Linked DNA regions of Nothobranchius furzeri. The protein of the gene in region 2 purifies or fractionates together with the protein of the main gene of each other region. This does not show direct contact. Links are inferred from orthologs where the notes say so. Each region holds a gene or a part of one and is shown on either strand. Other genes may lie near its edges.

Region 1 (5,622 bases), on a different chromosome or scaffold from region 2:
ACATTAATAAGGGAAATTGGGCGATAGCTGGTAGGAAATGCACGGTCTTTGCCTGGTTTCAGCAAGAGACTAATATTGGCTGAGTTCATGTTTGGTTGTAATCTGCCGCTCTCTTCGATTTCCCTCACCATTCTGAAAAATGTTGGAGCCAGAATGATCCAGAATTCTTTGTAGAACTATGCTGGAAACCCCTCTGGACCTGGAGCTTTCCTATTAGTCATGGATTTAAGGGCTTCCTGGAGCTCAGCTGATGTTAATGGCGAGTCCAGGACTGTAGCTTGGCTGCCTGATAATTTAGGAAGTTTTATAGAAAATCCAACTTAAATCCAGCTGTCAGTCGATTAAAAAAATTATTTAATTAATCACACAATTTTCTGTACTTGATTGTGATTAATCGCAATTTATCTGATCATTAGCCTGGCTGCTCTCACTTTTGTCCAACTTTATATTTCTCAATGAAAAACTAAGTTGTCACACACTCCATGGAAACTTTCAGAGAATCCACAAATAGTGGCTTTCAAATGGTTTTGTTACTTTTGCAAGTTTAGAAAAGAAGCAGACGAGGCAGCATGTCTGATAATTTAGTTTTTCATCTGATAATATTAGAACATGTCAGTAATGTCTGAGGGGCTTTTATAAACACTGGACAGGGTTTGGATTATACAAAGGCTTCTGGGGAGCCCAGTTATAGGGGTGGGGGGTGTTCTGTTTTGCCTTGGCCCCCAAAATGCCTTGAAACGGCCCTAGGTGTGTGACTGAGTTTTGAAGGTGATCTGAATTGTATCAAATGTATAAATATTACATGTGTGTAGCTTGATTTATATAAGTAAAAACGTGTAGTGGCGATAATTCTACCTACATTTTACTTTTCAACACTTTTGTTTTGTTTTCTTGTTTTTATTTAATTATTTTCCGGTCCAGTCTGTCTCTCATCTTCCTGCGTCTCCTCTAAACTCTCCAGAGAAACTGCTGCCTGGATTCTTACTTTTTCACCTCATCAGTTACTTTTGAGCAGATCAAAGGGATCTCCTGACTGCAAAGCGGAGAGCGCGTTTCGATGCTGCGCCAGTGAGGTGAAATCACCTCAGCACAGGTGATGAGCTCCGCAGTAGCACAGCGCTTCAGGCACAAATAAGACAAAGTAGAGAACATGTGTGGACATGAACGATCATGGGTTAATTATGGTTTTTTGGTTGCGCCACTTTGAGAACGTGGCGTGTGCTGGACGCAGCTGCCTGGAACGCACCAACGATGTGACCTGAGAGTGAGAATAATCTCTCACAAGGCACTGTGGTTGCAGGGGTTGACAGGTACTTGCATGCAACAGGTGCCAGTCTGGAATATGCTTCTTCTCTCTTCAACCACCACGGTAATGAACTCAGTGGACTCTTATAAAAAGCAGCTGAAAACTCACTTGTTCAAAGTGGCTTTTGTATGACCTTCTTCACCACTCTATCTGCTCTCCCCACCTATTCCACCTTCCTCAGGATCCACTGATTTCCCTCTTTCCTATTCACTCTCTCTTTCTTAACATTTTTTAATCACAATTGTCTATTTTTTGCTCATTTTTAACCATTTTCTAAATTTTTTATATTTTTACATTTTTTGTTTTTGTGAAGTGCCTCGTGATTTTTATCTTGAGAGGCGCTATAGAAATGATATTTTCTTCTTCTTCTTCAATGTCCAATATCCATTTTGGGCTCTGCTTTGTACTGATCTAGACAGCGCTCCATGGACAGCATTGTCCATGCTAGCAAGCTTTTCCTCTTTTTCTGCTGCTACTGCTTCTAATCATTTCCAGCAGGTCAGACACCAGCATTGCGCAATGCTGCCCCCTCCTTCAGAGCCGCTCACGAGTTTGAGGTGTCGGATTACGTAAAATAATAATAAAAAACCTGCATTAATTATGTTAATTTTTTTAAATGCATTAAACATGTTACATTAATTAACTAAATTAATGCATAATTTTTCACAGCACTAATATATCTTTAGTTGCAGTAAGTGCAATGTAAAAATCCTAATAAACAGCTTCTGCATCAGCCTGGCAAACAAGCCCACAGGAACTAGCTGGTAGCGATGGGTTATGGACTATTAACAGATGTGAATCATTTAAAAATAGAGTGAACTATAACAATGTTCTGCAAACAGATATTTACATAACTTGTTCCTCTTCCTCGTTGGAAACAGGATGCTACAGTTTTCATAGCTAGTTCCTTACATACACCTGTCACATCTAAAGTATGCTTGTATCTCAATCAGCATCTCTGGAGAAAAAAAAGATTTTTAATATGATTTGGTCATATATGGGTTGTGCAAGCAACGAACCATGTTATGGTTTACTTTACAAGACATACTGTCTAAGATGAATGATAAAAATGTTAAATAAACATATTTCTAAACTAGATTACATCATTATTAGATGTGCAGAGGCATTGAAACAAAGCTAAGTAAGATTAGGTGATTATCTTTGACAATGAACATATTATCCTAATCAGCATTGGCTGGCTCAAAAACATAATGTGTATTAGCTTTAAAAGCCAAAACCTTGCCTTACAAGACTGCCAAGAAATTCCTGGGTTAGTTTCCTCGAGTATGTGATAAATGTGCTGGGGTCAGCAGCATTGTGCTCACGAGTTGTTTATGATGGGACGGTTGTAAGTTCAGTCCAGAGTAGAACTAAAACAATTGGGCTTATGTGGATTATTTAAAACAGGCGTTTGTCTCTCTGGACACGCATGCATTTGGATGATAAATTATATTCCTCAAATCCCCCGATACTAAAATACAGTTGGTGTTATTAATGAGAAAGAATGTTGCTTTGCCAGCAATGTTCTCCACCCCCTCTCACAAACACACGCTGAAAACGTCACCCCACATGCCCACAGCATTATGTTTATATGTAAACAATTGACCATAAACTTGCTAAACTGCCATCACCTTTGAGTGGCCCTTCAAAATAAGACATAACCTAATAAATTACATATTTTAATGACACAAAACGGGTCTTTAGTTTGTTCAAGGGGGACATCCTGAAATGTAAACTGGTCTTTTTGCTGACATAATTTAAAGTTACAACAGCATCAGCAGAAGAAGTCCTGAACTCATTTGGGTGTGTCCTCAGAGAAAACTTTTCAGCACTAGTGGGAATTGCAACACCTACTGAAAACTGTCATTGAGCCTTGAAAACACCAGTTTCACACGTTTCTTCAGAATTAAACACGTTAGTACACACGTTTTACTATAATGCTAAAACTGTCGTTGCTATACAAGCACGACGTTGTGACATCAGTTTTGATTCACTTAAGGAAAAACATAATGCGAACAAAAACGGGCACATCTTTCTATCTGCTAGCATAAACTTAAATATTAACTAAACTTAAAATTAGCGTTTTGTTTCGTAGGAAAACAAATCTCGGGTGATAATTAACATTTTCATTCAATTACAATTTTGTCATTAAAATATCCTTTTCGCCCCAAGAGGTCAATCTTTTGACCGTTAAACAGGTGTGGTTACGTTATTTCCCCGCTAATAAACACATAAAACACATATTTCACTCTGAACAGAAAGACTGGAAGCCTTACCAATGCAGAATTTTTAAAACTGCCCTTGGTTGATGCTATCTTTCTGGCTGCTTTCCCTGTGCAAACCGACACATTGGCTCCCCAAAAACAAAACGCTCCCGTAAAAAAAAAACACCCCACCTTCCGGAAATGAAAACTAGATGACAGGATGTGACGTCATCTCGAAGTCCTGGTAAAATAAAATCCTTTTTTTTCCAGCATTTTATAAAATGTACCTAAATAACTGAATTTTAAATTATGTATGTGATGGTTTTATATTTCTAAAAAAAGTTATAAAACTTTTAAGGAACTATTTTACCACTAACAACAAATAAATCCATAAAAAAGTTTTAAAAGATCCACATTTATAAAACAGCTTAATGTTTCATATTTATTAGTCTAAATTTTCTAAATCAAGACCGTGTTACATCACTAAATATTTTATATGTTCATATCTGATCAAGTTGCAAGCAAAAAGCTTAGGAGTGAATAGAAGGAAGTTGGGAAATTCATTTGTTAGGGCAGCACTGGAGAATAGGAAAAAAATATACAAGTTAAAACACCAGCTATTACTGTAACCTACAACAATTATAAAATTATTAAAAATAGAAAATAGCCTTTCCAAGGAGAAAAAGAATAAAAGACAGATATGCAAATGTGCATCCAAGTTTTGCACACATACTGAAAAAAGAAAAATTATATTTAAATATATATACATACCATATACATACACACGTGTGTATATTAATACTTCAAGTATTATTGCATTGCTGTTTCTATAGGAAAACTTTGTGAAATACACATTTCAATTTAAAGTTTTTTGCTGTCATTTGCCTGGACAGTTAAACAATTTGTTGGCCTCTTGTTTGCATTTTTTATCATTAAAGTAATCTAATCTAAAATGTTTTAACCCTCCCACTGTCCTTATGGGTTTCCTTGCGAGGAATGTTCACCATTGAGCAGGATTGATGGTTTATCCCTTGAGGTCCATGTGGCAGGGGTGAGGTGGTGCTCACTCCTCACCCCTGCCACATGGACCCAAGGGATAAACCATCCACCCTGCTCAATGGTCAACTTTCCTCGTGGGGTCACAACCATTAGGAGTGGGAGGGTTAAATGCAATTTTTAATAAAAAAGATGAAACAAGTTACAGAAAACAAAGGTCAAAACGGATTCATACATCCACTCATTATAGACCAGCTCCTCCAGGGAAGGTGTTCCCTGGCCAGTGTTTCCTGGGTCTTCCTTTAGGTCGAAGTGTCTAGAAAACCTCACCCGGGAGATGTCCAGGAGGCTTCCTAACTGGATCCCTAAAGGCTGGTTTATGCTTGACGCGTCCGCGAAGTCCGCACGGCTCCGTGCGGAAAAGTTGCGTCATTTTAACAATCACGCCTCCGCACGGCCCAAACTTTCCGCACCGCGCACCTAGGAAAATTTCTAACCACGCGGACAGTCAGACGCGGAAAAACATGGCGGACAAGCAAGAACTAGTATGGCAGAGTTTCGTAAATACAGACATTTGTATGATTCAGCTCTCAAAGATCACCGTGATCAACATGTTGTTAATAATTCTTGGAGAGAAATAGCTCGCACTGTCGGAAAAGACGAGGACGCTGTTGAAAATGCTGGAATGCCATGTTGTAAACAACAGTTTTTACTTCTACTATGGTGTAGTGTTGGATGCATGCCATAGAGCTCCATGCTGCCCCCTACAGTTTGGGAGAATATTGGATCACCGCAGAGACGAGCAGCATGAACCATAAACGCTGCGAGTTGTGAAGCGCGTTCCATCCGCGAGCCGCATCACCAAGCGGAAAGTGAATGCGTCAAGCATAAACCAAGCTTTAGCCACCTCAACTGGCTTCTCTCAATTTGGAGCAATGGATCTACTCCAAGCCCCTCCCTAATGACCAAGCTTCCTACCCTATCTCTAAGAGAGATCCCAGACACCCTGAGAAAACTCATTTCAGCCGCTTGTATCCACGTTCTCGTTCTTTCAGTCACCACCCAAAGCTCGTGACATTAGGTGAGGGTAAGAACGTTAAATCTGTAAATCAAGAG
Region 2 (5,678 bases):
GCTTATAGCTTAAAATAATATTGTTTCTTTATTATTAATAATATTCTACATCATTTTAAACCCCCTGTTGCTCCAAATTAATAAATAATGCTGTTTTTTTAGCAGACTAACCACAAAATTGAAAGTAAAGCTGTGCATTTTTAGCAACGAAAGCCTAATTTCTATTTTTCTGCCACAAGAGGGCGACAAATCTCACTGCTAGGATTCGTAATCAGGCACTGAAATACAATTAAAAGCCTTTTTTTTAACCCTAGTTTCATTTGAGCAATTATGATCCCATAACACTTCACTTATACTTTACCTATCAGTTATGAGTGATTTTTATTTTACTTTTATAATAATCAGTCATAAACAGTGAGCCATTCACACAAAGGCATAAATTAATGCGTTAAGCTTAAAAAAAATCTAAATCTGACTTTTAGTAGGTGAGCAAAAAGGAATGAAAGAGCTGTAAATAAGGATGCCGTTTCAAACCACTAAACCTTTGATCTTTTTTACCAGAAACGTTTACTTTGTAGTTTCTGAAAGAAAAAAAACATGAAAAAGAAACTTCTGTGAAGTTTAAACTTTAGTTTTTATTGCAAATTACATTTTCTGTTCTTCTTATTGTTAAAATTAAACAGCAACCTTCATGTTTTATTGGATTTGAATGGATTTGCATGCATAAGCTGCAGGTGTGAATAAATGGGACCCATTTCAACCCCCCCAAAAAAAAAAACTTTGCAGTTCCCATTTATACTAAAAACAAAAAAGACTAACAGTATGTTTAACAAGGTTACTGGTTGCAGACAAAAACCACAATTTAACAGAATATCTGAGTGCTAATTTTAGTCATCCCCACGTCACATGCTCGTGTGTTTAAGCTTTACGTGACAATAAAAATACAATCATTTTGACGCGTTTAAACGTTCCTAAAACCAGATGTTTTGCTAACATAAGGAATCCCTTGTAAGATAAAATATTCACGTAAACGAGGTCAAACACCAGCAGAGGTCGGTTTATTCTTTCATTGGACTGAAGCGTTTTGTATGATGGATTATTAACCCGAAGAACTGAGAACTAAACAAGCTGCAGCAGGAAAATTTAACTTTAAATAAAACGTCCGACTGTGTCATCACTGACTCTTTCATTTTACCATCATTTCCTTCCTGCAGCATCTAAACACCCAGTAGTTAGTGTTGTGGATCGGGTCTGAGGGGGGAGGTGAAATGACAGGGAGGGAAGGGGGGAGTGGCCACCGGCCGCCGTTTCAGTCTCACGCGGTTTGTTAAACGAGCCGTCGAAGCTCCTGTCGGCCTCAGACTAAGGATGTGGTGCTCTCTGGGTTGATCCGCACCGGCCTCGTGCTCTTCCTCAGGTCCCGCAGCTGTTTGGCCGGTTTCCCCACACCCTCCTCAAACCGCCGCTCCACCACTGGCAGCACGGTGTCGTGGAGGAAGGTGGCGTTCTGCAGGACGAAAGCCTTCTTCTCGGGGTCCTGCTCACAGCGCAGGCTGTAGTCGACGTGCTGCACGGCCACCAGGATGATCTCCCTCAGGCTCTCCAGCAGCACCATGTGCAGCTCGGGGAAGTAGAGCTTCAGACCCTCTTCCAGGAAGCTCATCATCTGCTTGGTGAAGGCCACGATGGTGTAGCTCAAGTTCACCCAGCAGTCATCGCCCGTGTACTGCTGGAAACTAATCCCACAGCTACGCATCTCATCCTGCAAGACGAAGAGAAAAGCCTTAGATGCTGCTCAACACCCGCATTTTCTTTAGTTTTCTTCTTCAAACAAAAGAAACAAACACAAAATTGGGAATTAAGGAAGGCTGTTCGACCTTGAGCTTAGTTAAAGCCTCAGGGGTCATCAAGTTCATCCTCCTCCACATCTCCTCAGAGTTCCGGTGTTTTGTGGCCTCAATGATGATGTTCTTGTAGCTCAGCAGGGCTGCCTTGACGTCTTTGACCAGCAGCGACTGCAGCGTGAACGTCTGATCCAGGCCGATCTCCGTCAGCTGCTGACAGTGCTCCTTGGCCACTTTAACGCACTCTGCTGCTGTCGACAGGCTCTCCTTGCTGTCAAACACCTGGAAAACAGAAAATTGGCCGTTTTGAATCATTTTCTGAAATAATTGGAACAATAATTGATCTTGATTTTTTTTTTATCAAGAATAATGATCGAAACATATTTCTTGACTCATGTTAGGGACATCGCTGAGCCTCTGCTGACCTGTTTGCTAAACGCGTCCACAAACATCGTCATGGCCGATCTGGACCAGACCACAAAGGCAGAGTAGCAGCCCGTGTTCCCCGCAAAGTCCGTCTCAAACTCCTTGGCAGTTTCCAGCAGGCTGGTGAAGAAAATGTTGCAGAGTTTGTGGATGTAGAGCAGCGTGGCTCCTTCGATGCGGAGCTGCCGGATGGCCGTCTGGACAGCCGCGGCGCGGTTCTTCAGGAACAGCTCGCAAGCCTTGGTGGACTGACCTGAAACACAGAAATGACATCATCAACTGTTGGAAATATAACTTTAAATTGTTACAGGCATGGATTCTCCAAGGACTACTCTGGCTTTGTGTTGAAATGTTTACTGGTTTTGGGAAATCAACATTTTAATGGTCTGTGAGATCTTATTAATACAAATAAAGACCTAATCTGATGAGCTGGGACACGGCCCGCCGGGTCGCTTTAGGTCCACCACGAAGCGACCGATCAGGAGACAGCTCAAACACCAAGACCTCAGTCAGCTGCCGCACACGCTCATCCACCTTCGCCTTCAGCTCTTTCACCGTCTGGGTCGCAGGCTGGTCTTTGAGATACTCGTTCAGCTTGTCCAGCAGGTCCACTGCACCCTCAAAGTCTCTCTGAGCGATGCACACATCCAGGTCCTCGGGCAGCTCCTGGATCCACTCGAGACTGAGGTCCACACTCTCCTCGGCATCTGCCGGCTCGTCGTCATCCACATCAAAAGGGTTGTTGGACACTTCGGCTCGCACGGGAGAGGTGGGGACCTCCTCCTCTTTCTTGTGTTTGTCCTGGGAGGCTTTCTTTTTCTTGGTTTCATCCAGGATCTCCAGCCACTCCTTCTTGACTTTGCTGTTTTCCACCTGGAAGATGCGGCTGTCTGGGAACATGAGAATCTTGAACATGTCCTTCATGGGAGGGTTGTCCTTTACGTTGACCACAGCAAAGCTCTCCAGATCATACAGGGCATTGTATTTATACTTCACTGTGCCTCTGCGGTTAGGCAGCCAGGTGGCAATCAACAGGCAGTCATTCATCAGGAAAGCATGAGCCTTCTGGATGGGGGACATGTTGTCCACATCAAACTCCACGAGGTCTCCATTGTAGACCAGGTGTCTCCCTGGGGTGTCCATGATGTTTTTAGCTCCTTCCACCTTCTCCAGCAGTGAGGTGAGAGTCCTCTGCTTCAGGTCCTCTGTCTCTTTGGGGAACGCTGCCTGCATCTCTTTGGAGGTCTCGTCCTTGTCTGTGGACAGTAAGGCCTGAGTGATGCTCTCCATGATGCTCTTCTGCTCGGTGAGGATGTGGCTCAGCTGGTACATCTCGCTCTCCAGGAAGGAGATCTCCTTGGCCGTTTCGATGAACTGTCTGTAGTTCTTGTACACGTTCTTCTTGAGGTTTTGGGCCGTTTCATCAGCCAGAGTTTGAATTTTCTGACGATGCTCCTGAAGGTCTCTGTCGCCATCCGACTGCTGTGACAGCTGCTTGACGTAGTTCTGTGGATCGAAGTTGGGCGATTCCAGCAGCTTCCGAAGTCGGTTCCCGGTTTCCGACATCTTTGGTTGTCTGCGTGTTTCCTTATTAAGCAAAACTGTTAACAAACTGACGAGAAACGCAAACAGAGAACGAGCGCCTTCATATCCACGTCAACAAACACAGGAAGCTGAAAACAGGTCAACACCCCAAAAGGATCTGGCTTCTCCAACACCCGGGTTGTCAACGTCACATGAACGTCACGAGAAGGGAGAACAAAAAGGATGATCAACAAAAACTCAGAACAAAATTGTTATTGATCTTTCAGGTAAACCAAACAATGTTTTATTTTTATTTTAAAGCTTCTGTTTATTTATTTACTCATTTTGCTTTTTGTGTGTTGTTATTTTGCAGTTGTTACTGATTACTGGGCTATTGAACAACACCCGGAATAGGTGTTTTGTTGTCCAACTATTTACCTACCGGAAGTTTACGGTAGCTGCAGAAACATTACAGATTTTCAACAGCGTTTAAACAAGCTAATTTTAGTCATCTGCTGATTAAAATAAGATACAAAACTAAGCGGGGAAAGCCAAATCAAACACGAAATTAAGTTTGAAGTAGTTTTTTATTTAGAAGTTCATACGGAAAGAGACTCGTTGTAATGTAGTACATGTAGCAAACCTGCTGTTTGGCGCGAGCTGTGGACAGACCGACTATTATTACAGATACCTTTGGCTGACAAGAAGATGAGATTCATCTTTCAAAGTCATGACTTCAGTCCTTTTACCGATGTTTCTCTGAAAGGTTGATTTTATAATTAGGCTGCAGACGTCGTTTGTTCCAGAACTTCGTGCTATTTACATTAGCAAGTCAGCTAACAAGCTAGCACAGCTGCCTTCTGATGTCATGGATGCGGATTTCCTGCTTGCCATTAAATTACAGGAGCAGTTCGATAATGAGTACGAGACGTCATTAACCTCATCAAATAGATTCGAGGATAATTACTTCGAACAAAGCAGTAAGAGACGGAAAGTGGAAGCAGCCGGAGGTGGCAGCGCTGCTGTCCCCTCCTGGAAGCCGGGTCACGAGCCTGAGAAACCCCTGAGCATCGTGGATGAGTCCTGGGAGATGCTGGACCCAAACCCAGATGTGAGGGCCATGTTTCTGGAGTTTAATAGCCTGTTCTTCTGGGGGAAACTGAGCGGAGTCGAGGTGAAGTGGAGCCCCAGAATGACACTGTAAGTTTTGTTTGTTCACCAGATTTCCTACAGCAGGGATGTTTATAAACACTGTTGGCTTTACTGGGATTCAAATATGGTAGCCACAAAGCGCGAGATGCTTGGAAAAACATCATTATTGAAGAAAAATAAGGTAAAAGATTAAACAAATGGGTACCACTAAATATCTGACACAAAGTATGTCAAACATAATTTCTAAAAAAGCAAAAAATGTCCAGTTTCATGAAGCTCTATTATGGTTTCCTTGTGCTTCTATGCAATGTTAAGGCCTTCTCTATTGTATAAAATGTGTCCTGTTTCTTGTTTTGATGTCCTCCACTCCAGCGCTGTGTTACAGGAATAACAGAGTTTTGAGAAAATGCCTCCTGTGTGTTTCCGTACCTAGGTGTGCTGGTGTGTGTTCTTACGAAGGCCGAGGCGGACTCTGTTCCATCCGGCTCAGTGAGCCTCTTTTGAAGCTGAGACCCAGAAAAGACCTGGTGGAGGTGGGATGGGTCACTTTACATTAGTGGATCTTAAAGACAGAAAATCCTCATCCAGATTATTGCTAATAATTTGTTAATTTGATTGTTTCCACAGACTCTCCTTCATGAAATGATTCATGCACTGCTGTTTGTGACCCAGAACAACCGAGACCGAGAAGGCCACGGTCCTGAGTTCTGCAAACACATGAACAGGATCAACAAGGCCAGTGGGACGAAAATCACAGTAAGTGTTTCTCCTTCAGCTCTGTGTGGTTTTGGT

What was found.
Region 1: the proteins of exoc8 (region 2) and ralba purify together in Homo sapiens (affinity purification with western blotting; 6 studies listed by BioGRID and IntAct, counting the BioPlex papers as one, with this or other methods). This does not show direct contact. The link is inferred for Nothobranchius furzeri from reciprocal best matches to the Homo sapiens genes EXOC8 and RALB.

The regions. Positions count from the first base shown.
Region 1 is NC_091754.1:12,636,479-12,642,100, reverse strand, and holds the start of ralba (ras-related protein Ral-B), read right to left. Parts: upstream 3,711-5,622; 5' UTR 3,583-3,710; intron 1-3,582. UniProt on the Homo sapiens protein: Multifunctional GTPase involved in a variety of cellular processes including gene expression, cell migration, cell proliferation, oncogenic transformation and membrane trafficking.
Region 2 is NC_091742.1:10,761,956-10,767,633, reverse strand, and holds exoc8 (exocyst complex component 8), read right to left. Parts: upstream 3,926-5,678; 5' UTR 3,777-3,925; coding exon 2,627-3,776; intron 2,464-2,626; coding exon 2,210-2,463; intron 2,067-2,209; coding exon 1,818-2,066; intron 1,703-1,817; coding exon 1,298-1,702; 3' UTR 977-1,297; downstream 1-976. Other genes in the region: DNA-dependent metalloprotease SPRTN, read left to right, coding at 4,603-4,934, 5,320-5,419, 5,514-5,642. UniProt on the Homo sapiens protein: Component of the exocyst complex involved in the docking of exocytic vesicles with fusion sites on the plasma membrane.